Lonchura striata: one gene and its partners. The protein of the gene in region 1 interacts with the protein of each later gene in a pairwise test. Links are inferred from orthologs where the notes say so. Each region holds a gene or a part of one and is shown in the gene's direction. Other genes may lie near its edges. The genes, in order: PSMA1, UBXN11, POMP and CCNH.

The links.
Region 2: the proteins of PSMA1 (region 1) and UBXN11 interact in binary tests that used the Homo sapiens proteins (3 or more experiments, as listed by UniProt). The two-hybrid records come from large-scale screens. The link is inferred for Lonchura striata from reciprocal best matches to the Homo sapiens genes PSMA1 and UBXN11.
Region 3: the proteins of PSMA1 (region 1) and POMP interact in a two-hybrid assay, tested with the Homo sapiens proteins (2 studies listed by BioGRID, with this or other methods). The link is inferred for Lonchura striata from reciprocal best matches to the Homo sapiens genes PSMA1 and POMP.
Region 4: the proteins of PSMA1 (region 1) and CCNH interact in binary tests that used the Homo sapiens proteins (3 or more experiments, as listed by UniProt). The two-hybrid records come from large-scale screens. The link is inferred for Lonchura striata from reciprocal best matches to the Homo sapiens genes PSMA1 and CCNH.

Annotation. Positions count from the first base shown.
Region 1 is NC_134608.1:50,396,892-50,403,845, forward strand, and holds the start of PSMA1 (proteasome subunit alpha type-1), read left to right. Parts: upstream 1-3,953; 5' UTR 3,954-4,035; coding exon 4,036-4,038; intron 4,039-4,969; coding exon 4,970-5,014; intron 5,015-6,954. UniProt on the Homo sapiens protein: Component of the 20S core proteasome complex involved in the proteolytic degradation of most intracellular proteins. This complex plays numerous essential roles within the cell by associating with different regulatory particles.
Region 2 is NC_134628.1:342,852-349,968, forward strand, and holds the start of UBXN11 (UBX domain-containing protein 11), read left to right. Parts: upstream 1-4,116; coding exon 4,117-4,219; intron 4,220-4,398; coding exon 4,399-4,499; intron 4,500-5,238; coding exon 5,239-5,293; intron 5,294-6,089; coding exon 6,090-6,163; intron 6,164-6,587; coding exon 6,588-6,699; intron 6,700-7,117. UniProt on the Homo sapiens protein: May be involved in the reorganization of actin cytoskeleton mediated by RND1, RND2 and RND3. Promotes RHOA activation mediated by GNA12 and GNA13.
Region 3 is NC_134604.1:68,760,818-68,768,469, reverse strand, and holds the start of POMP (proteasome maturation protein), read left to right. Parts: upstream 1-4,646; 5' UTR 4,647-4,705; coding exon 4,706-4,708; intron 4,709-6,030; coding exon 6,031-6,128; intron 6,129-6,877; coding exon 6,878-6,938; intron 6,939-7,652. UniProt on the Homo sapiens protein: Molecular chaperone essential for the assembly of standard proteasomes and immunoproteasomes. Degraded after completion of proteasome maturation. Mediates the association of 20S preproteasome with the endoplasmic reticulum.
Region 4 is NC_134642.1:53,251,936-53,259,910, reverse strand, and holds the start of CCNH (cyclin-H), read left to right. Parts: upstream 1-4,960; 5' UTR 4,961-4,986; coding exon 4,987-5,103; intron 5,104-5,194; coding exon 5,195-5,317; intron 5,318-6,482; coding exon 6,483-6,556; intron 6,557-6,790; coding exon 6,791-7,001; intron 7,002-7,321; coding exon 7,322-7,485; intron 7,486-7,975. UniProt on the Homo sapiens protein: Regulates CDK7, the catalytic subunit of the CDK-activating kinase (CAK) enzymatic complex. CAK activates the cyclin-associated kinases CDK1, CDK2, CDK4 and CDK6 by threonine phosphorylation.

The DNA of each region.
Region 1 (6,954 bases):
GATAATAATTCTTCAGTTGTATTTTGATGACTCAAACAATTCTACATATGCTGTTTAAAGCATAACTTCTAGGCTAGCAAGCAATTTATAGCTCAAAGTACATTTTTCTTGTACAATAAAAGCATATTATACAGAAACTCTTCCTCACTCAGAGTGAAGAAATAAAATTCAGGTCCAAGAAATAGCAATAATATCCATCTAAATGTAAATATATTGTTGGTCCAGTCAAACAAGAACCTACAAATAAAAGCTATTTCCATGACCAGGATATGCTACAACAGCTCTGCTGTGTTGAACCTTGTGCCCTTGTTTATTCCAGAACTGGACAGAATGAGCCAGACTCTTCCCTGCAGCTCTCTTTCACAGGGATTATTTAAACCTGCTTTCAGCATTGCCTGCTCTTTCCTAGCCAGCTTTGATGATCAAGCAAGGCTGGTTGCCCTGCAGGCCTGTCCTGAAAAGGTCAACTGATGTCAGTCTACAAAAGCTATGGATTAAAAAAAGTAAGGAGTGGGCTTTAAAATGCCTGTAGTTGATACCTCAATTGGTCAGTAGTTTAAAAATGGAAAAAATGCCTTTGGCAACATGAATGCAAGTTTGTCTTAGAGACTGAAATGTCTGCACCTCTACTAATGTGGCAGCAAAAGAATAGGAAAGAAATTTGGTATAATTTACATAGAGAGGTTATTTTTTCCTATTTACAGTATTAATACAAAGCAATATATTTTTTTCTTTGTAAGAACTTCCAAGATCATCTTTAAATGATTCTAAAGACAAATATGTACACTTATATTTGCTGTCAAATTTTTATTTTTAGTCTTAACCTACTTGATGAAAATGTCATCAAATACTACATATGTCATACACCAAGGCTTCTAATTAATTAATTGAGTAGTCTTGTCACCATATATCTATTAATGAAGCAAATCTCTTACCTGTATTAAATCCAAATATGGATTGTTCACATTGTCAAGGCTGTAAGACAGTTCTCAAAATAACTTAGTCAAAATGCTCAGTCCTGAGCGCATTATGACAGCACTGCTATTTGTGGGCAACCACTTGTCCATCTGACAGGAGTGGCTCTGTGATCTCTCTGGGATCTATTCTTCCCCTTCTCCAAGGGGATGGAGGCACTGCCTTCATTCAGTCTGCCTCTTACTCTGGCACAGCAGTTTTCTTCTCCTCCTTTGGCAGTGCTGTGCCCAAGCAGCACAACGTGCAGCCCCTGGGAGTGCTCCCAGAGTGTCACCACTGACCTCAGAGGAGCCAATCTTTTGCCAAAATACTCCACCTAAATACAGGAGCATAGCACACAGGGGTTAATGTGGGCTGATGGTGAGTGGTATCCCAAAAAGGGACTTGCAGGAATGTTGTTTCCTCTCGTGAATCAGCAGAAGCAGAGGCATAATGGCCTTGCCTTTCAGTTGCTGTACATTAATCTCTGCAGAGCAATGCCTGTCATCGCTCAGATGTCAGATGCTGTTTATAACTCTGCTGGAAACACAGCATAGAATAAAACAGGCTCATTAGTTTCTCTTGAGACTGTATATGCATGGTTTAGGATAGCTATGCTTTCACTGCTGCTCTTAGCTCAAACATTGCAGCAGCAGCATCGGTGGCTCAGACAGTTGTTTAGTCTGTGAATTTGTCCAGTTGCTCTCTCAGTATGTGACCAAAAGACCATGATGTGTTCAGGTGCAGAGGTTTCCACAGTATAGGTATGACAAGACCCAGAAGTGCCCCCTGGGCTTGGCTTGAGCCTGCTGCTTTTAAAGACACCCCGCACCAGAACTGCAGGACGGAGAGAAGTGTTGAATCTATTCAGCATCTCTGTGCCAGCTGTGATTTGGAAAGAGTTCAAAGCCTTTCCTTCTTTATCTGCTATTTACACTGAGGACTTCTACTCCTTACTGGCATCCTTTACATGAAGCTATTCCATAATTTGAATCCTTCTTTTTACTTTTCCCAGTGCCACATCATTTCAAGGTAGGAAACAAGAGTCATGGCCAATGTTCAACGGTGTCAGATGCAGTATGGATTTACACAGTGGCACAGCAATGCTTTATGTTTTGTTCTCCGTCCTAATCATTCCTTACATTTAATTTGGACACTACTGGGCACTGAACTTGTTTTCATACAGCTATCAATTGTGTATTCATTGCTCTGAAGTCATCCTGGTTATCAGGTTACCAAATGTGAAACTAAAAAGGAGAAAATATTATTTTCTCCTTAGATTTTTTAATAAGTAGTTCATTTAAATGTGAGGATAGTTTTAGCTTTACTTTTCAGTCCTGTACTCTTTTATATTGTGATGTCTCAATGTAATATACTGATTGCTTTTTCACTCTGCAATTAGATTTCTAATATATGCAAAACACTTCCTTTCTGGTGTGATGCCTTTGTTATCTGAGCAACAGCCATTTGATTTTTGCCTTGTTGATTTTGCCTTTCTCGCCTTCTGAATCGACACCTTACACCCTCAGTTCAAATACTTCAACGAGGAATAGGCTGGGCCCTCTTTAATGCCAGCACATTGAGGTGAAATCATTGAGGTGAAATCACCTCCAACCCTCTGGCTTTAACCCTGCCTGTAGAGCTCTCGTCCTGAGCCTAAGGGACAAGAAGGAGCATCCAGAAGGAAGTGAATGACTTCCTCCCACGGTAAGCGTTTCCCGTTCCAGAGATTATTCCTGTCTCCGGCATCCCCTTGCGCTGCTGCCCTGGGAACGCGGAGCCGTTGTGCCGCCTGCAGGATCCCCGTCCCCTGCCCCCTTCCTGCTGCCACGGGACCCCAGCCCCGCCGCTTCAGAATAAATTGTTAATAGCTGGACATCTGGTGGCTCCGGGTTTGGCTTTATCTTGTTCTATCCATCTAATAAAGGGGGAAGGATTACTCCGGAAAATACTTCGGTTGTTATTTAATAAACCTGCGACAGCTCATACAGCTCCCAAAAGTTCTTCATTTCTGCAGCTATTACCAAAATTCTCCACGAAGTTAAGTTTTACAATCCTGCCTTTTGATCGCTAAAACCGCGGCTGCTGACATTCCTGGCCGTACAAACACTGAACAATGGGGAGTCTTGGCGTGGTTCAGCCTTCTATCCAAATTAATGCGGTTTTGCCAAAACGAGGGGAAACGTCTGCGTGTCGCTCTGCTCCCGTGGCCGGGGTGGATGGAGCTCTGGGGAGTCCGGAGTTCCAATATAATAATATAATATAAAATAAAATAAAATAAAATAAAATAAAATAAAATAATATAATATAATATAATATAATATAATATAATATAATATAATATAATATAATATAATATAATATAATATAATAATATAATATAATATAATACATAACATAACAAACATTAGAATAGAATAGAATAGAATAGAATAGAATAGAATAGAATAGAATAGAATAGAATAGAATAGAATAGGAGTCCCCTGTTGCCGTAGGAAGTTACTGGGGAGTCCGGAGTATAGTATAGTATAGTATAGTATAGTATAGTATAGTATAGTATAGTATAGTATAGTATAGCATAGCATAGCATAGCAAAGCATAGCATAGCATAGCATAGCATAGCATAGTATAATAATATGAGTCCCCTGTTGCCGTAGGAAGTTTTTGGGCAGCGGCACCAGGGAGAGGCTTCGGGAATATTTTACTGCAACCTCCTGAAGCTCATCAGCTTGCTTCATAAAATGCTTACACATCCTGTTCCCACACAAAAACGGTGAGGAAAGGAAGTAGTTTCCGAACCAAACAAACTTTTTTATTTATTATTATTATTATTATTAATCAGAAAGCTTAAAAATAACAAAACAATTTCGGCAATTAAAACCGGCCCCCAAGGAACCGCCTCGCTCAGGGCGGCGCGCAGGCGCGGCCCATCGATGAGTCGGGGCGCGGCCCATCGATGAGTCGGGGCGCGGCCCATCGCTGAGTCGGGGCGCGGCTGGCGCTGCCTGCCCGCCGCCCGCCCGCAGCGCTCCGCTCGCCGCCCGCCGCCGGGAGCCGCCGGGAGCCGCCGGGAGCCGCACCATGGTGAGGGCCGCGGGCCGGGCCGGGCACACAGCCCGGCACAGGGAGCCCCGCCGCTGCCCGGCCTGCCCGGCCCGCGCGGGGCAGCCGGCAGAGCGGGCGGCGGGGAGCGGGCCCGTGAGTAAGCAGTTCCCGGGCCGCGCGGCGCCGCGGGCGGGACTGGGCCTCGCTGCCGGCGGGAGCGGGCCCTGCTTGGGCCCCGGGGCACAGACCTCCGAGCCCCGTGAGGATGCGTGCGGATATCTCCCCAGGGGTCTGGAGCACCTCTGTTGTGAGGAGGCTGCGGGAGCTGGGCCTGTTCAGTCTGGGAGAGGGGATTCATTAATGCCTACAAATATTTCATAGGCGGGCGAAGAGGACTGTGCCAGACCTTTTTCAGTGGGGCCCAGTGACAGGATAAGGAGCAGTGGCCATAAACTGAAACAAAAGAAGTTTCACCTCAACATAAGGAAAAGCTTCTTTACGCTGATACAGAGCACTGGGAGTGCTGCCCAGGGGGGCCATGGAGTCTCCATCTCTGGAGACATTCAAACCCACCTGGATGAGCTCCTGTGTCACTGCTCCTGTGACCCTGCCTTGGTAGGGTTGGCCTGGATGATTTCTAGAGTCCCTTCCACCTCACAGTTCGACAAAAGGAATTTAACAAAGTAAGAATTTGTTTACAGAAAGGGCTGTTGTTGGAATGGGCTGCCCAAGGAAGGTGGTGGAGGCACCATCCCTGAAGGTTTAGGGAAGCTGGATGTGGCACTCAGGGCCATAGCCTAGTTAACAACTGGGTCGTGTTCAGTCACAGATTGGACTCGATGTATCAGAGATGTTTCCAATGTTATTGATTGTGTAGTGCTGGGATTCTGTGAAAACAACCAGGGTTTCCTCCAGGAGCACTCTCTTAGCTTATTAGGGATACTAATGAGTTTTATTTTGTTCATTCCAGTTTCGCAACCAGTATGACAATGATGTCACGGTTTGGAGCCCGCAGGTAAAACCTTTATACACTTGCTCACTGGGGTTTTAACTTGCTTTTTGGGTTTTCTCCACCTCACAGCAGTGGTATTACAGTCACAAAGGTTGTGCTCAGGTACCTGAAGCTTCCTACAGGCTGCTCCCCTCTCCCTTTGTAGGCTGTAGGTGACCAAGAAAGCCCTCAGCACACCCCTGTCTGCTGATGTATGAACCTAAGTGCTGCTTACCTGGGCCTTGTCCCCTCCAGGTGCTTAAGGCAGTTGCTTTCTAAATGTACCTGTGAGGTGCAAAAGAGATGGTGTCATCTTCGGGTGGTTGGACAAGATGATCTTGTAAAGATCCCTTCCAACCCAAACCATTCCATGACTCTGTGATCCATTCACAGAGCTATAATAAGTTGGTAGGTAAGGTACACAAAGCATGGAACAGTTGCAATCTCCCCAAAGTTAGGCCATTACTGGGTCTTTCTCTATTTTGTCCGCTAGATAATTGGGATGTTCAAGTGAGATTTACATTTGAGTTTGAAATTTTACTACTTATGAATCAGTTTCACACTGTTTTTTGTTACTGAAAATATACATTGTGTGTTCTTAAACTTACACAGGCTGTGTTGAAAGTAAATATTTTGGAATTTTAAAAGGCACTGTCAGCTGAGGTGTTTAATATTGCCTCTTCTCTCACTATGGATATTTTAAGACAGGATACTTACAGAAAACCAGAGCCTTGGAAAAAGACTCGTTTATGTATTCAGGAAAACTGGAGGTTTATTTAAAATGCAAGTAGCAAATTGTATTAATATAAAGCTAATGTATCATTAGTTTGTGGGTTTGTATTGCTACTGAAATTATTCATCATGTAGCACTATTGCATGTGAGATTCATTTTCTGTACAGTGCAACAGAGAGTGTTCTCTCCTTTCCATTCTCCGTGAAGACAGCCTTGAATATTTCCCTTTTTTTCACTCAATGCCATGATAGGTGTAGGTGCCTTTGAAGGTGTTGATGCCTTTGAGCTGTTTTCAGTCTTCTTAATGGTTGTGTTTCTCTGGCAGGTTCTGTATCACAAACTTTTTTTGTTTTATCTGTTACTTTAAAAGTTACTTTTAAAATGATAACATTCACTTGAGATTTTTAGCAGATACTGCAAAATATCAGCAACACAAATTTCTCTGTTTTTTTAAGTTGCCTTGAAAATATTAATAGTGTTGGGTTTGTTCTGAAAAAAAGACATTTTAAATTGCTGCTGTGATGCAACTGCTACTCTATCCATTCTTGCAGGTGAGGCAGTCATGTGATGCCATAATAGTTTTTGGCACTGTTAATGCAAGAGCAAATAATACTTTACTGGGAGATGTTTTTGAATATGTTAATAAAGAAAAGGAAATAGGAGATTTAAAAACTCAAAGTGGTTTCTCATTTTTACAGTCTTGCATGTCATTCCTGACAGCTGACAAATTCATGTTGGACAGGTCACAGCAATTCAGTGCTGCTCTTGGGCAGGAAATATCTTATGTTACTGAAATTCCAGTTACAACAGGGGATGAAATTCAACATTAGGGTCTTTCTAGTAGACCTAAAAAAAGAACCTTATGCCAAAAATCCCCAACAACCTATGGGAAGGTGGTATCCTGTAGATCATCCCTTGCACATTCACCATAACAGTTGCTGTGTTCCCCTCCTTGCCAGCTGATGGGATGCAGCTCCATGGTGTCATGCTTGCAGGATAGGAGTGCCTGTATTGGCTGGCTGACATAGGCTGGAGTGCTGAAAATGGGGAAAACCCTCAGTGGTTCTGTTACATGCACACGAAAGCTCCTGACCACCTCTGCAGAACTTGTAGGGACTTCATTTCCTTTGAGACCTCTACTCCTGTTTCAGACTTGACTGCAGTTGGCCAATAACTTGTTCAGAAGTTATTGGGGAATGGCTGGTGAGACACAACAATTGTGTAAGACTCA
Region 2 (7,117 bases), on another chromosome or scaffold:
GACAAACTCGGTGCTCGCTGCTGGGGAGAGGACAGGGCTGCCAGCAGGAGCGTGCTCTGGTCGCTGCACGGAGCACTCACGGCCCTCGCAGGGAGCAGCGCTGACAGCCCGGCGATGCCGGGGGACATCAGGCGGCTCCAGCGGCTGGGCCGGCCGCGGCTTCCGGCAACAAACGCCCGTCTTTTACGTGTCTCCATTGCCCCAGGACCAGTCCGGGCAGGGGGACAGGCAGCCACACGGGGGACTTAGAGGTTAGGATCGGCCCGGCAGGAAGGGACGCTGAGGAAGGCGAAAGCCGCTCAATATTACAGAGCCCCCCTCACACAGACACACGACCGGAGCCGCGTCCGCCCCTCACAGGAAGCGGGGCGCCTGCGCTCAGCATTTATATTAACCCTGTCGGGCTGTGATTGGCTGAGGGCGGGAGGTGGCGGCGCCGGATTGGCAGGGAGCAGCAGCCCCTGCCGCGGGATTGGCTGGGGCTCCGCGCGGGCTGCCCCGCCCGAGCCTCCGGGGAACGCTGAGGGATCGCTCGGGAATCTCCGGAGCCGCTCGGGAATCTCCGGAACCGCTCGGGAGTTGCTCCGGGAGCGCTCCGGGATCCCCGGGAACCGCTCGGGGACCCCCGGGGGATGCTCACTCGGGGACCCCCGGGGGATGCTCACTCGGGGACCCCCGGGGGATGCTCACTCGGGGACCCCCGGGGGATGCTCACTCGGGGACCCCCGGGGGATGCTCACTCGGGGACCCCCGGGGGATGCTCACTCGGGGACCCCCGGGGGATGCTCACTCGGGGACCCCCGGGCCTTCTCCCCCCCGGCTCGGGCGTGGCCCCTCCATCTCCGAGGGTTGAAGCCCCGAGAAGGGGCCGGTGCTGCGCCCCCACCAACCCCGGTACCGAAGCGGGAGAACGAGCCCGAGGTGTCGGCACCGGCGCGTTTATTGCTCCGCTCCGCAGGGCCGGGGGCTCGCTCCGAGGCCGGGGGTGGCGGCAGGAACGGGTGCGGTGCCGGTGATGCCGTCCTGGGGAGGGGCTTCGGGGGGCTGCAGGGACGCCCCCGGCTCAGCGCAGCTGCAGGAGGAGCGCTGCCAGCACCCCCAGCGCCACGGCCAGGAGCGGGGGGCTGGCGCCGGGCGAGCTCCGGCCGCCGCTGACCGTGGCGTTCGCCGCGGCGGCATCTTGCGGAGCGAGCTCCTCCGCGTTCGCTTTCGTGTCCTTGGCCTGGCCGAGCGCCTGGCAAGGAAAACAGCGTCAGACATCCCTCCCCACAGCAGCGGTGAAAGCCCCGAGACCCCTCACGGGATGGGTCTGGGGGCACTGCGGCGCCCACGCTGCCCCTTCCCAGGCGGGACAAACAGCCTCCTGTCCCCTGGCAGGTTCCCTTCCCACTCCAGCTCTTGGCTTTGGGCTCGTCCCAAGGCAGGGAGGGAAGTGAGCTCTCCCTGGAGTCGCTGCCCTGCTGCTGACCCGGGGGGTTCAGAAATTAGGGGGGAAGTGGAAGCCAGGGAGTGGTGTCTGCTCCTCTGGCTGCCGCGAGGGAGTGGTGAGAAGGTGTCGGGCCGTGGCCCTGCAGAAGAAAAAGAGGGGTGGGGGTTGTGCGAGGAGCAGGGGGGACCCCCGAGCCCGGGCAGGGTGCAGTCGGTGTGTGAAATGCAGCACAGCCAGGGTGGCAAGCTCGGGGCAGTTTCTTTCCCTCTCTGACGCTGTCCTGGCTGCTGGAAAAGCGATGCCGTTTCCCACTGTGAAGCACACTGTCTTACACCCCTCCCCAGGGTCCCTCCCGAGATGGGAAAGGAGCAGGAACGAAGCCCAAAACTCTGCTCTGCCCCTTTGCCACACTCTTGTCCTTTTTGCCTGCTTTACAGAGGGGAAAATCCCAAAATCTACACGCACCCCGTGGAGCCAGCAGCAGGTCCCATCTGTGGGGAACTCCATGAGTGAAATAAGCACAGACAAATCTGGCATCGTTACCAACATGTAGGAGAAAAAAAACCATCCCAAAAGCTGCCTCAAAGTGCATCATGCTCCCCAAAAGCGCTGCTGGGTTCATTCCTGACACCCAGGAGAGCCCCATGTCCTCAGCCTGGCTCTCGACCCATGGAGCCCGCAGCAGGAAGGGCGATAACAACCAGAGGAAACCACAGGCGTGTGTCCAGCAGCCCCTCCAGCCCAGCATCCCCACAGCGGGCACGGCCAGGCTGGAAGATGGGCTGGAGAGCTCTGCCAGGGTTCCGGAGGTGAGCGGTGCCCTCAGGGCAAAGAAAGGCATGAAAAAAAGAACCGCATGGAAGAGTCGGGACCTGGCAGAGCGCAGCACAAATCCCTTGCTGAGACCACAGCGGTGCGAGGCAAAGAGAAAACCAAACACGGCGGTTTTCAGAGCTGCGGGCTCGTCCTTACCAGGCACAGGGCGAGCAGGGCGAGCAGGGCGAGCAGGCGGGCGCGCTGCAGGGGCGGCATGGCCGGGGCTCGGCGGGGCTCCGACACTTCCCGTGGCACTTCCCCGTTCGCCCCGAGCCTTTAAGCCCGGCGGGGGCACCGCGCACCCAATCGCGCCTCCCTTCCCCAGCAGCGGCGGGACCGGCGCGGTTTTGGGGAAGTCGCAGCTGCTGCCCGCGCTGCGAGGAAAAAGGTGCGGGCCGTGGATTTGGGATGTGCGGGCCGTGGATTTGGGATGCCCGGGACGTGGATTTGGGATGCCCGGGCCGTGGATTTGGGATGCCCGGGCCGTGGATTTGGGATGCCCGGGCCGTGGAGCTGCTCCTCCGCATCCCCTGGCGCCGGAGCAGCTCCCTGCTCCCTGGCACGGCAGTGATGAGTGACAGAGCAGGGAAATTTCAGCTGAATAGAGATAAAGTGGAGAAATGGGACAAAAGGGTGTAAAGGGATGAGCGCAGGATGCTAGCCATGGCGGGAAGCAGTGGAGAAATGGATAAAAGGATAAAAATAAAATTCCCCACTGCAGTGGGTGTTCTTTCAGAAGTAGGTGAAAAGAAAAAGTGCATCCCGAGTTAAAAAGTTGAAGGAAAGGCTGAAACCCCTCAGGTTCTGCTTCTCCCTGGGGCCTCTCTGTCCTCACACCCACCAAGGACTAAGAGTGACTGAAACCCTCCCTGGATCGGAGGGAGGGTTTGCAAATCGCAGCCCAGGTCAGAAGGAATAAACCTCCTTCCCTCCAGGTGGAGCTGGAGCCAAGGCATCCCTTGGGATTTCAGTTACAGATCCTAAATAAAGGGGGAAATGCTTCCTTTAATCCCCTAAAGCGGGAAATGCTTCCTTTAATCCCCCAGCTCCATCTGCTCACAGCAGATCTCCGAGCTCCCTCGCCCTGCAGCACAGGAAACGAAAGGATCTGGTTATTTTAAGATGGTTTGAAATGAATAAAGTCACTGGAACGTGCTGAGAACACACACCTGCTGTCTGGGTTCGTGCTGGTGAAGCACATCACGGTGAGCTCCCTGCAGCTCCCACCCTCAGCTGAGGGCTCTGCTGCAGAAAAGCTTCACCAAATTTGGCTCGGTTTGGCTCTTCGGGCAAGTAGAAATTACTTGAGCACAGCCAACCTCCCTGACAGTGTCCAAGGCCGGGCTGGACAGGGTTTGGAGCAATGTGGGACAGTGGGAGGTGTCCCTGCCCATGGCAGGGGGTGGGATGGGCTTTGGGGTCCCTGGAGCCCAAACCTGTCTGTGGTTCTGTGCACGCCCCATCAAAGGAGGTAAAACTGCGGGGACAATTGGCCTGTCCCACTCGCCTGCAGCTGGCGAGGCCGAGCTCTCCGGGTGGGATGGGGACACCCAGGAAAGGCTCCCGGGATGGGGACAGGAGCTGGGGCAGCTCAGGGCACCAGCGGGGCCCGGCTGAGGAAACAGGGACCGAGGGAGCAGGTGAGGGAATCGGGAGGAGCCCCAGGCCAGGCTGACGGGTGTGTGCGGAGGGGGGCTGAGGAGAAAAATGGATCCCGCTCCCGGTAATTCCCGGCGCCGGTGTCCCGGGAGAACGCGCGCGGTGCACGCTGGGAATTGTAGTTCCCAGGGAACTCCAGCGCCCACCACGTGACCAGCGCCGGACCAATCGCGGCCCGCCTCGCGTCGCCGTGGCAACCGGCTGTACACAAGATGGCGGCGGGGGGTGAGTTTCCAGACCAGGCCTGGGCCGAGGGGTCCCTGCAAGGCTCCCTCCGCTCCTGCTCCGGGGTCAGCACTGAAAACAACACGGAGGGTAAAGCCCCTGAGGGAGCTGGGAGTTCTGGCCCAGCAGCTTTTCGGTGACACCCCCGGCCAGACCCCTTCTGTGGCTGCCCTCCCGCACACACAACCAGAACCAAGGGATTTTTACCCGAAAAGTCCTCCCTGCTGTGGCAGACCAGGAACCCTGCTCACAGGTATTTGTGTTTTCAGGTGCAGCTCACCCTGACATGGAGCTCTCGTCTTCTCTGGCAGAAAAAATCTCTCTGTTGGAAAAAAAAATAGAGAAACAAGCACAAGAAATCCAGCTGCAGGTAAAAGTCAGCCTCTTGCTGAGGCTGCTCTGTCCTCTGCCACAGGAATTCCACCTCTCAGACCTTGTGTGGGCTCAGAGTCCATCTGTGGTCTGCTGTTAATTACCCAAATGAGCCCTTTACAAAGCAACAGAGCAGTGGGATCAGGCCTTGGGGTGGCAGAGGGGACAGTCCCTGCTGGGGCTTCTTGCAGCAGTGACTCTCAGCACCCTGGCACTGACATCAGCAGCTCTTTGGCTTCAGAATTAATTTTTTTTTCCCTCCTGTGATGGTACATGCCCCCTTTTTGTTTTCTGAAACAGCAGCTGCTCACACAGGAGAGTGGAACTGGAGCAGCCCTCTCTGCATCACTGACTGGAATAAATAAATACCCTTTAAAATCTTAGAATAAATACCTTTAAAATCTTAGAATAAATACCTCTTTCTGTTCAGATTGGATTTTTTAAGACGTGGCTGCAGAGATGCTGGTTTAGTTTCCATACCAGCCCCTCCCCGCAGGTCTGAGCAGGAGCACCTGGTGCAGAGGGAGGACGGGAGATGGGTCACCCACTCCTGGAGCTCTCCATTTATCCCAGCCCTCCTTTGAGGCTCATTAAGGGGTTTGTGGGGTGGTTCAGCCCTGCTGAGCCTTTGGGCAGCGCTGGGTGGGGGAGAGGAGCTGCAGCAGCCCTGATTGTGCCAGCTGTGCCTGGAGGGGCTGAGCCCAGAACTGACCCAGCCCTTTGTTCTGCCCCTGAAGGCCGGGAGGATCGCCGAGCTCGAGGAGAAGATAAAGACTCTTCAGGAAGGGGAAGGTAAAATCGTTCTGCAGCTCTGGGCAGGGCAGCAGAGCAAGGCATTTGTGTCTGTTACTCTGCTGCAAAACATCCTGAGCTGTTTGTGTGGGTTTCGGAGCCTCCACGGCTGCGAAGCCAACCGCAGGCTGGGCAGGAGTGCAGTAAACACTGCCGAGTTCAAGCAGCAGGAAGGCAGCTCCTCGCAGCTGGGAGCAGCCAAACACACCCCTGGAGTCTCCACAGGACTCCAGCCCAGCAGAACTCGAGATTGAGCCCAGCTTGCAGTGGCTCACAGGGGTGTTTTCCCCTGCATCCAGCAGCTTTCCCAGCCCCAGCCGGAGCCCACAGACGTTTCCTGCAGGGCTGAACAGCCTGCTGTGTGCAGGGCTGTGGTGAGCTCTCCATTTCCTGAGCACAGAGCTCAAATGTGGCTGTCAAACCACAGACACGAGCTCTGCTCCTGCTGCTGCACCGTGCTGCCACCCAGCCAAGATTCCAGGATCCAGCTGCAGCAGGCACCTGCTCCTTTTGGGCTCCTTAGGGCTGAGCTGAGCAAGTTCCACTGTAGGCCTGCCAACAGCACCTCTCACATCAGCTCCCATGGCTTTAAATTCCCCAGGCTTGTTCACAACTGTCTTTTGGCCTGCCAGCAGCCTTGTCAAACCACTGCAGGGTGAATTGTCCCCTTCAGCCCCTGTGTCCCACGGGTGGGAGTTCACTGAGCACAGGCAGGTGCTGCTGGGGCCCTGCCCTGTGTGGCACAGGTGATCCACAGCTTGAGATCTTCAGAGGAACGTCAGCTTTTCTCTTACAGATGCTTCTGACTCGCCCAGCACAGAACTGGAAGCGAGGTGCCTTCGGCTGCAGAGCCAGGTCTGGGAGATGGAGGTGAGGCTGCTCTGCCTGCCCTGAGCCAGCTCTCCTGTGGTTTGGGGTCACTGCACTCCCAGTTTGGCCTTTTCCAAGCTGCCCCTTTGGTCCTCACAACCCTTCTCCTCTGAGAAAAGGGAGCAGGTTGGATGTGAGCAGCACCTGGGCCTCCTGTGAGCTTCATCCTGATTGCCAGGGCTGCAGGAATGCCCAGCTCCTGCAGCCTTGGGAGGTTCCCCTGGCACTACAATCTCCTCCCTTTGCCCTGCTGCTGATGGAGCTGCTATCACTGCCCTGCCAGGAAGTCTGTCTGCCAGGGCCAAGACAAACCTGTTCCACCTCCCTCTGTGCCTCCCACAGCCACAGCTGACCCCTCTCGGGCTCCCTTTTCCAGTTCTCTGGAGCTCTGGGCACCAAAGCCCACCCGACTCTGCTCTTGCAGCGGTTCCTGAGCGACTACGGCCTGGTGTGGGTTGGAGAGGCACGGCACCAGCTGGGAGACACAGAACCACTCCAGGAGGAGGAGCTGCCAGCAGGGAGCCCCTGCAGGCCGGGTAAACCTCTGTGAGATCCCAGCTCCACTCTGGGCTGAAGCTGCTAGCCCAGCTCCCCCCGTGTGCTCAGAGAAGGGGGAGTAGAAAAGCATCAAAACCTCAGGATTTGGGTCTTCAGAATTTGGGATCCTGGGCCAAGATCTTCACGTCGATCCCTCTCAGGGACACAGACGTGGAGCAGTCTAACAGGAGCTCAGCAGAAGGTTTGGTTTTATATCCCTGTGTTTTGTACACCCTTCTGGGGGGAGAACCTGATGGCTCAGCCCTTCAGGAGGAGCAGCTGTCTCCTGCAGAATTCACAAACCACATTTGAGGCTTGGTTGATCTCATGACATTGACACAGAGTGGGTGGAAAATGGAATCAGGTGCTTTGTGTACACAGGAGCTGTAGTAACTTACCCACAGAGCCTGGCTCCAT
Region 3 (7,652 bases), on another chromosome or scaffold:
GTGGGATTTTTTTCCTGCACAGTAGCAGGACTAGGAAGTAATGTTCCATTCAATTCTTTCAGCTGTGACTACCATTAATTAAATTCAAGGTTTCCCGTAGGAAAACACTCTCACAGGAAATGTGCTCTTAGTCTCACCTATATGTTCAGAGTGGGTAGGCTCCTGGGAGAAAAATCACTCCAGACTGAGGGGAAACACAAAAATATTTTCCTTTGAATTCTCATGAGGGACCTGATTTCAGACCAGAGGTCCTGACTACGTGAACACTCGCTTGGCTAAACGTTGGACTCAGCCTGCAGGATTACTTTCATAGTGTCAAAGGGAGGTAACAGAGCTTACTGAAAATAGTTATCAATCCATTAACTGGGAAATAAACCCAGCAGCATTCCATCAAGTACTGCTCATATAGCTTCAGCTGTTGCGCATACCATGTTTTTTATCTTTTGATCTTGATTCATAATTCTCACAGCACTGCGAGTGCAAAAGTACTCAAACCCAGGCGGGAGTATCTGAGCGAGGCTGAACAGAGGCGGCTGGCGAGCGCTGTGGGAAGCAGGCGCGGAGTGTTCGGGTGCTGAGCATCCCCTAGTGACCGGCTCTCCCAGCGCAGCATCCTGCTTTTCTGAGCCTGCACAAAGAGCGCAGCGAAGCCCACACTCACGCAGTACAAACAACGGATTAGTACAAAAAAAGTACTGCTACACTTACAAAAGCACTGACAAGCTGCAAAGTAAGTCATCACTTCTAGAGAAAAAGGACTCCTTTTTAATCCAAGTACATTGCTTGGATCAAAACACAACTGGCTTCCCTTGTCTGACCCACCAAAAAAGGAACTGAAAACAGATATATTATCTTTCCACTTAAATTTCACCAATGACTTATAAATCAGATAATGAAATGAGGGATGGTCAGTATTATTTCCCCACTAGATGTTTCAGTATCTTAAAAAAGTCTACATTAATATAGACATCCTGATGCTTTCTTTCTGGTCACCTATTGGATGCTTGCTGCTTTTGAACAATGAGGATGGGAAAGTTTTGACTAAAGAAGATCCTACAAACTAGATTTTGCTAGTAAACAAACAGGAAATAATAAGCTCTTTCAGCAATATGTGGGATTTCTTTTTTTTTTTTTTTTTTTTTTTTGTCTCCCTGCAACAGTAACTTTTTTCTAAATACTTTCACCAGCTTCAGGAAAGGGTGGGTTAGAGACAGGGGTTTCCTGAGCTCTTTCAGAACATGGTTTTAACGAAGCCGTGTGTTCAGAAGAGCCCCTAGAGAGTCTTGTTTTGGAACAGTCTGACGCCTACATGTTATTATCTTTGCTACGTTTTGCAGTTTTGTGTGAAATTTATTTTTAATCTTTAACAAAACATGCCTCTGTTTATCTTAAATTCAGAAAAGGTTTAATAATGTAAAACAAAATAACTTTTTAAATAATTAGATTTACAATGAATGCCAAAACATAAAAGTATAAAGCAAGTTAACAAGAAAGGAGTTCTTAAAGATCAAAGAAAATGTGTTTATTTGATTTGATTAAAAAACAAATAAAAAGTACTTTCACTTTAACAAGTTATAACTGGCTGTTGACAAAGACCAGTGAAAGAGTTTCCCAGTCCCACAGGATAAAGGTTTTCTTCTGATAGAGCTTCACGTAGTCAGAACACATTGCTGACACTGATATGTCAAAGGAATTATATTTTGAAAAGTGACAAAGCTGCATCAATATTAAAAAAAAAACATGGATACAAAGACAAGCTTCCTTGGAGAACATACTCTTTTTGCGGCCTTTGCCCCCCACAAAAAAATTTTCAGGACAAGGATTGGGTAGTAAAGGTTGCTCCATATCAGACTTCTTTACCCATGGAAGAGGAGATCTGCAGAAGCCAGCTCTCTTCTGGGAACTCTGCTGCTATGATAATGCACGTTTTGAGCTAATGTTGTGCCTCTGTGTGACAATTCTTGAATCCACCTTTCTTCTGGAGGTTTCAGCGGGAAATGTACAGACCTCCCATGAAATGATGCCATGCTGGGATCCAGGCAAGAGAAAGCTGAGTAACTGAAACCAGGATTTGTTTTAGGTCAGGCTGTCTAAGCTTTGTTCAATGAGGTTTTTTGGGTTTTAATTCCAATTTAACTGATAGAAGACCATATGACCAGTATCATTTTCTTTAAAAAGAGTAAACACTTCCTCATTTCCAAAAGATAAATGTCTAAGTCTAAAGGTAGCTTAAATCTTTAGTGAATGTACACAGCTAAACCAAAAAGACCAGATTTGACATTCCAAAAATGTTGTGGTAATAAATATCCAGAAAACATATGAAAGAGTAATATATTTTAGACCTCCTTTACACAAAGTGATGAGAAAAAAATATCCGAAAACCCCAAAACATTTGGAGTGTATCTTTAAAGGCAACATATGAAATTCATTATCCTAACTTTATGTAAGTCACCAATTTAGAGGAGCTATAATTATTTTCACACTAATTTTAAGGTATCCACATCCTCTTAAGAGTGTCCCCAGACAAGAAGGCCCCTTTAGCAATTGCAGTCACTGCATGTCACTTTCTATCGTGTTACCATCTGCCAGGGAGATGCCTTCAGGCAGAGTATGCAGCCCTGCAGCCAGCACTGCTCCCAGCAGGGAGGTTTCAGCACACAGGGCGCCGAGTGCCGGGGCTGCTGTGCCTGATGCAGTGCCCGTGGCCGCTTGTCTGCTCTCTGGTGACCCCGGTGCTGGTGGCAGCCCTGAAGTTGCCTGCAACATGCAGAGCAGCTGCTCCTGGACTGTCAAATCGCTCACCACGGGCTCCCATTCTGGTCCCAGGTTTGGTCAGCCTGACAATTGCTTGTGCAATTCCTATTTGTTTGCAGTGGGGCTGCAGAGAGGAACCCAATCACCCACTGTCGAGCTGCTCGCTGTAAGATCATTAAAGCAAAGTTGTTTGTGAAAGGAATCAAGCCTTGCTTCAATTTGAAATACTTGGTAATCTGATGAAAAAAATACGTGTGTGATTTGTGTTTATGTCTGGAAGTGTTCCCTAGTGTGAAAGCCTCTAAAGGAAAACCAGTTCTTTCTTGCAATGTATGCCCTTTTATGTTATGCAGCCTAGACTGTGGATCGCAGTGATGTCAAAAATGTACATGGAGTGATTGCATCCTGTCTGTGTCCTGCAAGAATGACTTTGAAAGTTAGATGTTTCATCTCTACAGTCATATCCTGATCAACAAACTCAGTCAATAAATAAATACATTTAGTGACAAAAACTAGCTTTCTGTATGCTGCAGTTAAACAGGAACTTGATTTGTTTTTTGTATTCACATCTATTCTATAATAATGAATGCAACACCACAATAACCAAGTACCCATTATAATTATAAGATCAGAGAGACCTTTGTGGTACTCATTTTCCTAAAAATGATTTTAAAAACTCTAGTCCTCCATTCTCATTCTTTTGAAGTTTTTGCTTTAAACTTAAGACCTAAATACAAAGGGCTAGAATTTGGGTTGAGAATGTGAGGGGTGGGTGGGATTTAAGAGGAGTACAGATATTGTCCAAGAAACAGGAAAACAGAGTATAAAGTGTATTCATTTTTCAGTCTTTTTTTTTACAAATCTAAGTTCCATTAAAACATAGAAAATTCCTGCTTAAATATTGCCTCTGTAGCTGTGTGTGTGCGTGAGATAGAGAGATGACGTTTAATTGCCACATTTAAAATCCACAAAAACAGGTCAGTTTGGGTCACTAAGGGTAATCCAAATGAAAAGGTTAAAGGATTAAATGAGCTACACATCTCAGAAGAAATATATAAAATAAACATCCCAGATACACATGTGGAGTTATGCACTGAAATATATGGAAAACTCTCTGGAAGCTTCACTGCCTGGTCCCATCAGCTCAGGCTGTCAGCACTGTGATGAGTTTGGTGTCACCCAAGCAGCTTTTGCTGCCTGTGGCAGAGTGGGACACGGTGGGTTTGACCGAGAAAAGCTCTCCACACCAAGACACCACAGACACGGCTGCCCCCGGCTGCTGTGGGAAGGTGTTGGTCAGCTTCAGCTCCTGCTTGGGACCACGGTGGCACTGAGACAGCTGGGCTTTGCTGGCATGCGAGAATGACCTGGAGTTTTAGCCTGGAAAAGATGTCAGGGGTGACCCAAGTTCTCTCTAGAAGCGCCTTAAAGGAGGGTGCAGCCGCGGGGGGTCGGCCTCTTCTCCCAGGTAACAAGCGACAGGACAAGAGCAAACGGTCTCGAGTTTTGTCAGGAGAGGTTTAGGTTGGACATGAGGAGGAATTTCTTCACAGAAAGGGTAATTTAGCATTGGAATGGGCTGCCCAGGCGGAGTCACTGTCCCTGGAGGTGTTTAGGGAAGGACTGGATGAGGCAGCCTCAGTGTTCGGCCACGGGTTGGACTCGCTGGTCTCAAAGGTCTTTTCCCACGTAACTGCTTCTGTGCTTCAGTGAGCAGCGCGCTCAGTTTACAGGGCACAGACCTACGCGTAAGAAAGCCGTGCCCAAGGAGGCCGAGGCCGGGACACGAGCCCCTCACACGAGCCCCTCACACGAGCCCCGCGCCCCTGGCAGGAACCGCCGCCCCGGCCCCGCCCCGCCCCGCCCCGCCCCGCCCCGCGCGGTGACGCACCGGGGCCGGGCGGAAGTGAGCGGGCGGGGCGGAAGTGGCCGGCGCGTCCAGGGGCTCAAGATGGTGAGTGCGGGAGCGGCGGCGCCGGGTGGGTGGTGGTGTCCCTGTGTTCGACTGCGCCGAGCCAAACCGGACCGGACCTCACTTGCTGCCCCCCCCAGATACCCCTCCCGTCACCCTCTTGGCGTCCCCGGGGGCAGCGGAGCCGTGCTGAGTCATAGGGGTCCGGCGCGGCCATGGCGGGTCTCCTCGCGGGCGCGGGCCCCGGGAGGCGCGGAGGCCTCGGGGCGGCTGTGGTTAAAGCCCTTCCCTGCAGTGGGCCGGGCCGGGAAGGAGGTCCCGCCTCGGCCCTCGGCGGTGGGCAGCGGCGCTGGGGCTGCCTGGACGGGCACTGGGGTGACTCGGGAGTGTTGCTTTTGGGGAGTGTTTCGTGGTTTTCTCCTTGAGTTTAACTTTGGTTTTCCCTCTTGTCACGTCCCCCAGGTACCGTATCTAATGCTTTCATTTGCAGCAGTCTCTTGTCAGTGCTGAGTGTGTAAATTGGTATATGGGTTATATGCATGGAACAACAGGCATGTTAGGACTGTTCTACAGCTCTTTGTTACTGAGGGTTCGCATGTTGGTACAGAAATACTAACTTAACTGTAAGTGTGACTTTTCTGTTGGATCTGACAGTGCTGCTGGGGGAAAACCCTTGCAGTGAGCTGCTCATCACTGTCACCTCCCAGAGATTATTGCTGTCACCTTTTGCTGTTTATTAGACATTGCCCTATCGGAGGAACAATTTTTTGAACAATCCTAAAATCACTTTGATAAATTCAGGTAGGTTAGAATGAAATTAATGGCCTAAGTTACCAGTAAGCAGTACTTACTAAGTCTGTGGACTTCTGGTGATCCACTACAAGTTCCTACTTTCCTTTGTTCTTTCAGTTAACTGGCATTCTGGGCTGCTCGAATACACCTTGTCCTCCTTATGGCAGCCTCAAACTGTGGCCAAATTTGATCTTGTGTCAGTATTGCAGTAAATGAAGAAATACTCCTTTCTGTCCTGTCAGCTAGGACTTGCCTCTTTCCATCCCTGCAGCCCAGGGTGGAACAAACAGGGGGTATATTGTCAGTTTAACTTGATCTGGGTCAAGCAGACCCAAAAATGTTGTCAGCACCTTAGTTTTTATCAGACCCTCTGAAAGAATTCAGTATTAGTGTAGGGTTTATGGATTTGGATGTTTTGCCTCTATTTTAAAGAAACGCTGAAGTCTAGGGCTTGCCCAGTGGTACTTTAAGGAGTTTTTGAGCTCTTTCTTTCATTTGGCTGGCTTAATGGCCCATATAAAAGTGGTCTGGTTCTGTTGAAGTAAAGTAATCCTTTTTTTCTTTTCTTCCAGAATTCCAGAGGCACTTCTTCTCTGTTGAAGGATAGTATCCCATTTGCAGATGTTTCAGCTTCAGGGCTATTTGAAGGTCATGATCTTCTGCGCAGAGGGTACGCTTCACTTTTGCTTGCTGAATTGTGTCATAGACAGTGTTGAACTTCAGCATCTGTTAGATGTTGGCTTTTTATAGAGTTTTTTTGCAAGGTGTGTTGCAAACTGGCATTTACCTCTGTGATACTGTCCTTTAGAAAATAAACAGCAAAGTATTGATAATTATGCAATATCTGATAGTTTTAATATACATTCATGTGAGTGTGCCGTAACACTGTGGTAAATGGTTAATTTCAGTGCTGGGACAAACCCCAAAAGTAATATAATAAAAATAGTTTGGAGTTTGCCATTTTTACCTGAGTGCGATACTTACGTCTCTGTCATGGATAATGAATCCAGAATAAGCTCATGCAGTTTAAAATGCCATACAACTGGCATTGGGGGGCAAGTATGTACAATATAACATTGTAAAGCTTGGAGGCTTCAAAATGAGATACAGTGTAGCTTGGACATAATTAAATCTGTAATGATTTCGTTTATTAGTGTTTTCATCTCTTTCTGAAAGGTATCAAGGAAGAAAAACACATTCTGTTTTGTCCAGCATAAAAGATATTTGAAACTTTTTCTCCTGGTAGTGCTGTAGTTAGAGGTTTTTCTTGCTGCTTCACTATTAATCTTTTTCTGTAGTTTGGACTTTGCTAGTTGTGTGTTTCTGGGGACTGGTGTTTGTATCTGAGATTGGTTTTGGAATGCAACTAAAAAAACATATCCCAATTGAAATTAATGTCTTTTCTACTTGTTCTTCTAGCTTTACAAGTGTGAAAAATGAATTGTTGCCCAGCCACCCACTGGAGTTGACAGAAAAAAATGTAAGCTTAACATCAAATGTAGCCATCTTCACTCTTAACTAATTATGAAGTTTAAGTTAACAGGGTGGTTATCTGGACTGCTTTGTATAGTAGCAACTAATGAGTGGGGTCTCTAACAGAATGAAGGTGTTCAACAACAGTCAAATTTTATTTATACAAATAACATTGTCAGCAAGTCTGTTTAATATTATTCTCTTACTTACATCTCTCCCCAAGCAGGCTTCCAAGTAGGGACTTGTGTGGTCAGGCTTAGCTGTCCAAGAATGTGTGTACAGCCACCATAGGTAGGCCAAGGGCACACCTGTCACCTCGTGAAGGTTGATCCTCCCATTTTGTCTGTAGATTTACTGTCTTCATTTTCAGACTTTCAGCCTGTGAACACGTACATGTTTTTCCATGAATTGCTCAATCCCAGCTAGGTGTTTTACACCTGCAGTTTATCATAAGTGTTTGCAGTCTTGTCTGGCTCAGTCCTTGCTCATGGACCATTACAAGTGGTCTGTGCAAGGTAGTGGGAGGCCAGACTTGCTGACTGAAGGGAATGTCTTTGGTGCCTGCTTTGTCAGTGCAGAAGATATGATGTATCAAACTGTCCTGAAGCAAAGATGTTATTTTGATAGAATGTTCCAAATTGCTAAGTTAAACAGCAGGACATGGTCTGACTGTATATATCTATATCTATATATATATATATAATATCCATAAATCTAAATT
Region 4 (7,975 bases), on another chromosome or scaffold:
CTTGCCCCCATATATAATCCCCAGCCCCTGGTGCAGCCATGGCCTCACAGGGTCCAGGAGGTTCCATTGTCTTCAGCAAAGTTCTGCCCAAAGCTCTGGCAGGATGCCACCCATGGCTTCTGGTCCTGCAGCCTGCTGCTGAGCAGGGGCTGTTATTCCTTGTGGACAGGCAACAAGGGAATCTGCAGGGCCAGGGGATCTGTTTTCAGCCAGGCCTCTAGGAGCTTCTGCTGCCTGGTGCTGGTGTCTGGCAACTCTCTGGGAGGTGTGATAACATAGTGTAGGTTGTCATCTCCACCATGATCAGAAAAATTCACTATCAAGATGGATCTTCTGCAGAGTGAGCAGGCAGGATTTCTTTCTGCCCAACGCAAGACGCAGCCAAGGCAGAATTGGTGGCCGCAGGGCATTGCGTAAGCAATGTCATCTGGTGCATTGCAGCAGATGGGGCAGCTCCACTCCTTCCCTGTGGCCATGTGTACTTGTTCCCACAGGTTGGCCCAGGCTCTGACAGCACCTGATTTTACAGAGCAATGGATGTGAGGTCACAGTCATAATCTACCACCAGGATTATGTGTGGGTCCTCTGCTTGTTTTTTCTACCTCTGTCGAGGTTGGGATTGAAGGCACTTGAGACGGTGTTTCATGTCGGACTCACGTGTTTATTATTTCTTATCAGTGAAACAACCTCACAGCTGTGAGTTCTGCAGTCTTTCATTAGCAAAGCATAAAATGGCTAACTATCTCTTGTTACAAGGTCTTTTAAAACTAAACTATCCAATTAGGAAATGACACCTGGACTATTTTCCCTTCTAACCCAATAACTGATACCTCAAATCCTGCAATGCAGACTTTTCTGTCTAATTACAAAACATCACCCAAACCCATGAAGAAGAAGGAAGAAGAAGGCGAAGAACAACCCTTCTCCTCCCTACAACCTGTATCTTGCTTTATATTTATTTCTGTATTCTAAAACCCCAAACTCTAAGTTTTCCATCCTGTGATATTACACACTTCTAACCAACTAAGAATTCCAGTGCTATTAATCAATTTTGGAAGTCTTCTCCACAGCTTCAAGTCAAATGCAGTGCTCTCTTGCAAGTCTCTGCCTTTCAGCACAGAAAGTTGAAAATTCTCAGCATCAAGGATTCCAACAATTATGATTATTCCTAGGAGTATTATTGGAATTACTATCACCTCCACAACCCAATAATGTTACAATATGATGTCTACCCCTGTGGTTCTTGGAAATATACTGCTAGTTGGAGGCTGCCCTCTGCCCTCTTGTGCACCCCAGAAAGGAGGGCATCACCAAACAATGAGATCTGAGTTAATGGATACATGGCTGTGGAGAAACAGCAAGGTTAAAGTTTGGTCCATCACAGATCATCACAAATTCAGCACAGGGGGTTCAGGAAATCAGGGAAAAATTTCAGATGACACTATGAGGAATGGCTGGATTTCACAATCCATGAAGGAGTGTTTCCCGAGAGATGGCCAAAATGCACAGATAACCTGCACAGGAGAACTAGACATGTTGGGAAGGGGAGCCTTTTAGGAGAAAAGTGTCAGTGCAGCTGTATCTGCAACATCATCTAAGTTTGACATTGCCTAAATAACGCTGTCCCAAATCCCAAGTCTGGGACCAGATCAATTCATGTTGGAAGCAATGGGGAAAAGGGTCATTGGGGTGGAGTTTTTTATGTCAGTAGAGGCAGGACTGGAGAAAGTGAAGTGCAAGGGCATCTGAGGAGGGGAAGAAAAGACAGAGCCTTTGATGACTGGCATGAAATACCTATGGTGAGCTGAAGACATGGGTGAGAAGAAGAGAAGTAGAAAGCGGAGTTGCAATAGCCCAAGACATATGCAGAGGGGCAATGGAATATTGGGACAGACATCCCTTGTCCATCACTGAACTGTGGAGGCTGGCATCAGAGTGGCGGACCGTGACAATTCAAAGCCTGGCTCTCCAACAATGCTGAACTGTCCAGTGTTCCCTTCTGCTGGCCCACCTCAGAAATGATATCTGTGAGAGCAAAGCCTCTTGTACTCCGCCCAGCCTCCAGCACAGATAGGAATTCTGTGAACTTCTCATTCCTCAGCTTCTCAACTTCAAGAGAATAAGAGCTTCTCTAAACGTCCAGACCAAATAACACATAAAGTTAGTCCTATTACTGAGTTGAGCAACTGATTAATAACTTACATAGCTTCACTTTCCAAAAAACCTTTCAGTTCTTGTAATTATCTTTCTGAATGTCGTAAAAATTTTTATACTCACTCTGCACTTTATTAGTGTATTCTATACCATTCTTTGTAGACCTTATTACTTGCACAAAAATCACATTGCACTATTTCTTCTTTTTACTAACCTATTTGGCTACAAGATAATATACCAAAATTGTGTTGTGGGTAAAGAGAACTATTGTGAGAAAAACAACAGAGAACCAGAAACAGTAAATTTTAGGTTCTGTTCATAGCTTGGTCTCAGACCAAGAACACAAAGGTATTTTATAATTACTTTTCCAGATATGTTATCTAAATCTGCCTTTTTCCACTTTCAGACTGAATTTTAGAATCACTAATAATTCACCATACCAGTTAAAGTTACAGAAGAACTACAATCAGTGAAGTCCGTAGTTGTTTGGTATCCTTAAACCGACATACCTTTGAAGTAAAGATTCTGAAAAGTGAAAGGCATAAAAGAAATGGAGTCTTTAAAAAATAAAAAAAAATCTGCTTTACCCTCTGTACTGCTCTCTTTAGAAATTTTCATTCCTATTCTTACGTTTTACTCTTAGAGTGATGATGTAAAATAATGTATTAACAATAATACTCAGCAAACTGAGTATTAGAATAACATGCACTATTTATGAGTCTCTAATTTGTGAAACTGTCACAATCAGATGCACAACAGCACCCTTTTGGTATTTTTTGTATATATGGCTCTTGGAACTCAGATTTGGTCAGATTTCAAACTGTTTATATGCTGGATGTGCTGATTACTATAATTTAAGGCAAAGTATTGATGGATTCAGACTATGCAGATAATACAGTTATTTCTTGTGTAGTTTAGGGAAAGGACCTTCGTCATGTCAGCTCACAAAGAACCCCTTTGTCACTAAAAAACAGGAAACAAACTCTCTAACCAGTTTTTTGTTAGAAAGCTGATATTTTTCAATATGTTTGGTACATGGGGATAGCTTCACCTAACACATATATCCACTTCCAAAACTTTTCACTATTTATGCACTGTAACAAATAAAGAAATGAATGTTCATTGACTGTAAGTTCCATAATTCTCTTCATTAGTAAGTATTCTATCTCCTATTTGTTTTCTCACGTCTCATGCTAATTAGCCCAGCTCTCCAGTGTTTTTATCTTTTTCCCAAACAGCACATCCAGTACAATTGCTGAACTGAAAGTGATACAAGTCTGTCATGCATTGACTTGGTTAGTTTTTTCTTTATCTTGAGTTTCTGCAAAATGTCCTCGTTGTTCATGAATTTTCCATTACCTGCATCTAGTTTCAACAATAGATGTCTCTGCAAGGCTTTGTTAACATCCTTCCTGGTCTGAGATTATTGAAACATATCAAAGTGTTGATTCACTTGTTTCAGTGAAACTTAAAGTTTCAGTAATTTCCCCAAACCATGTTCCCACAATACCAGCTTATGACAACATTGCTAAATGCCAGCTACAGTGGCATATGACAGAGCGTAAAATTACATTGCTTCAAAATAATTAAAATGATTAATTACAAGAGATAATTAAAATAATCTATTAGAAAAATTATGAGTAAAGTTATATAATTTCCCACACTAGTTGTGGCACGAGGCTTATTAGTCACAGATGTAGAGACTTAAACCCACATTTATCCTTAGTGTTTGTAGTAAGCACTGTATGATACAAAACAAAGCATTAATCGTAGATAGGATTAATGCACAAACACCTGTCCTAAGGTTAAAAGAATTTTTCTCCCACTGCTGCATAAACTCCTTTTAAAAGAATTTATGTTACTTGCTGGGTAACATTTTTAACTACAAGTCCTGTGACTGTCCACACAATTATGTTTTACATACTTTCCTCACATATGTCAAATACAAATATTAGATACTACACTGTAATATCTAAAATTTCTAGCTTAAACATGAAATGCTGCTTCCTTAATAGTATAACTGGATTTTATATATAGTGGTTATTGGGGGAGAGCAGGAGACTACTGAAGGAACTTTACTGAGCAGAATCACAGAATATTCTAACTTGGCAGAGACCCACCACAATCATAAAGTCCAGCTCCTGGGCCTGCACTGTACATCCCAAGAATCACATCACGTGCCTGACAGCTTTGTCCAAACACTTACTGAATCCATCAGACTTGGTGATTAGACCACTTCCCTTGGGAGTTTGTTCCAGTGCCCAATTCCCCTGTCGGTCAAAAACTTTCCTGATATCCAACCTAAACCTCCACTGACTTAACGCTTAACGTCATGCTATTTTCTCGAGTCCTGTCACTGTCACCACAAAGAGATCAGTGTCTGCCCTTCCTCTTCCCTCACAAGGAAGTTGTAAGCTGCAATGAGGTCTCCCTTCAGTCTCCTCTTCTCCAGGCTGAACATTCCAAGTGACCTCAGCTACTCCTCATATAGCTTCCTCTCTAGACCCTTCATCATCCTTGATACTCTATAGTAGCTTAACGTCTGATTTACATTGCGGTGCCCAAAACTGTCCCCAGCACTCGACGTGAGGCTGCACAAGTGCAATGTAAATTTGCAAGTATACATTAATAAAACCGAAAAGGAAACACAAGCATGCAAAAGTTTACAACATACTGTTTTGCCACGGCCCTTCATTAAAAATTAAAAGTTTGTAAAAGGAAACGGAAACATCCCTCTTCCACGAGGAAGTGTTCTACGCCCGCCCCGCCGCGCCCCACACGCTACGACGGATCCCGGCGTGCCGCGCGCGGGTTCGGCCATGTTGTGGGGCCATGTTCCACAGCAGCACGCAGCGCCGGCACTGGCTCTTTCATAGCGAGGAGGAACTGGCGCGGCGCCGCGCTGAGGGGAACCGCCGGGCCCGAGCCAGGGCGGTGGCCAGCGGAAAGGTGCGCAGGGGCTCGGAGGTTGCGGGCGCGGGGCGGAGCGGAGCGGGGAGGCAGGGGCGGCGAACTCAGGCGCGGCTTTGCTTCTCCCAAGGTGCCGGAGGGTGACCCAGTGCTGCTGGAGCCACACGAGGAGCTGGCGCTATGCAAGTACTACGAAAAGAGGCTGCTGGACTTCTGTGCCGCATTCAAGCCCTCGATGCCGCGGTCCGTTGTGGTAAGCGAGGCGAGGAGGAGCCGTAGCCTCGGCCTTCCTTATTCCTTCGCTTGCTGCCTTCTTGGCTTGTTCTTGAGAGCGCGGATATCTTTAAATCTCTTCATCTCTCTTCTCTCCTTCTAGCATTACAGTCTGTGGCAGCTTGTTGTCTTGTTTTCTGACACGTAGAGCCATTTCAAAACCTGATACTTTTCAACGTGATCTTTTGCTTGTGGCTCTTAAACTTGCTTGGGTGACTGAATTGTTTTGCTTCCCCTTAGCAAAGAGTAGAAACAAAATAGTTGTAGATGATTGGTGCTAATGTTTGATGATACAATGAAACAATCTCCCAGTCGCTGAAGGAGACGGTCCCAAATTTGGGCTGTCATTCAGATGTTTCTCTAGCATTAGTGCTTCTCTGACCACAAAATAAGCTGGATCGTGTACTGGGAAAACATTACCCTACAAAGGAAAAACATTACCTTGAACTTAGATGTCTTGAATGCAGAAGACCGTATTTCAGAAGGGAGAAGTGGGGACATAGAGCTGAACAGAGTGAAATTGTGCCTCACTCATTAAGACATTAAGATGTATGATTTACATTGTCCTACATTAGTCCTCACTTTTCCAAGCATGTGTGTTGAGTACTGTGCTTGAGGGTGTCTTTGAAAGGTAACAGTCACTGTCATGGCATGTGAAGCCAGATTGATGTTTGAGAACTAGCTCCTGCAGAGTCTAATTTTGGAAAGCATCGACTTTCATGCTGATAAACATGCTGCAAAATTTACTGATGTAAAAAATCAAATTGTTTCAATTGCTTGCAACTTTGAGGATGATTTTTTTCAGCCTTTGATTTTTAAATTTCATTTTAATACCAGGTTATTTTCATAAAGGGACTCTTGGCTTTTTAGGCATTGTCTTCTAAAACATGTCTAAAAACAAGGAAAATTGTTTTGTATTACAGTTGTAGTATAAGGTTCTTGCAGGCAAAAAAGACTTTGAAGTACTTCATTCCTGTGTGTGTGAAATACTTAATTTCTGGCTGTATGTGTCTTAGTGCCTCAGTGTATCCTGTGTGCCTGTAGCATATATCCAAACTTGCCCGTTTTGGGAGGGGAGTTTCTTTTTATTTTATTTTTTTTTTCTTCATCCATTTTTTTTTACCTCCCTATTTTTTTCTATTTAGGGTACAGCTTGCATGTATTTTAAACGTTTTTACCTCAATAACTCAGTGATGGAGCATCATCCTCGGATAATAATGTGAGTTATCAATACTTCTTTATATTTGTAAAGACGTAAAAAAAAAAAAACTAAGAAAGAAAATCTGAGAACTTAAATAGGAGTAAAGACAAAATATGGTCAGTTTCACTATCTTTTTGCTGTATTCAGAACATATTTAAAAATACACATTTTCTGATCAGAACTTTCAGTAGGAGAATGGATGCTGCATATGTCAATTATTTGCTTTTTTGGGTTTTTTTTTCCCTCCTCAAGGCTAACATGCACATTTTTGGCCTGTAAAGTAGATGAATTTAATGTATCTAGTGCACAGTTTGTTGGTAACCTTCGAGAAAGTCCTCCTGGACAGGAAAAGGCTCTTGAACAAATACTAGAATATGAACTGCTACTTATTCAGCAACTGAACTTCCATCTGATCATCCACAACCCATACAGACCATTTGAGGGATTTCTAATTGATATTAAGGTAATACTCTCCGATATGCTATATGCTTTGTATAGTAAAGTGATACAAGTCTGTCATGCATTGACTTAAAAAACTTAATTTCCTTTTGTGCCTGTGATTTAAAAAATCTAATTTTCATAGTGATAGACAAATACCTGAAAGACAGTTGTCTTACTTGTGGTCTTTAAGTTATTTGGGATATTTTTGGAATAAAAACTTCTACTTTTTAGCTAAAAACTTGCTACTTTTTAGCTATATAAAATACTGTTGAATTGTGTATTCTGAACTCATGAAGAAGAATGACAAACAGCTGCCTTTTTTTCTAAATCATTACTTTTTAGACTCGCTATCCAGTGCTGGAAAATCCTGAAGTTTTAAGGAAAACAGCTGATGACTTCCTTAATCGAGTGGCTCTGACAGATGCGTATCTGCTCTTTACTCCCTCACAGATTGCTCTCACTGCCATATTATCTAGTGGCTCAAGAGCAGGAATTAATATGGAAAGGTAGTATTATTTTCTTATATGTGTGGTTTAAACAATCTGTTTGCTTCTTGTATAAAACTGTTTTGCTTAGACATTCTTAATTACTAGAATTTTGTATTTGTTGATTGCTAGCACTCATCTGTTCTTTATGGTTTAGAATGGAAGTGTTACTGTTCATTTTCACAAATAGGTGATGAAAGCAGTTAGTTGCTGTCTGGTTTTTATATTCCTTTAAAAGAAGTTAAAACCCTGACAGCTTTCCCTTAATTAGAACAGCTTAGGGTTTTCAGACTCAGTTTGAGGGTTAGACAGGGAAGAAAGTGGAAATATGGTAGAAATTGAGAGTCAACTGAAATTACACTGAACTGACAGCTAATGGGCATGCTGTAACATGCTGTGTTTGATTGCTGCAACTGTTCAGTTGCCATGGGTATGCACAAGGGCTAAGGTGTTGCTTTAAATCACTCTTTTCTTTCCCTTCTGTGAAACCCATAAGTACATCTTGCATGTC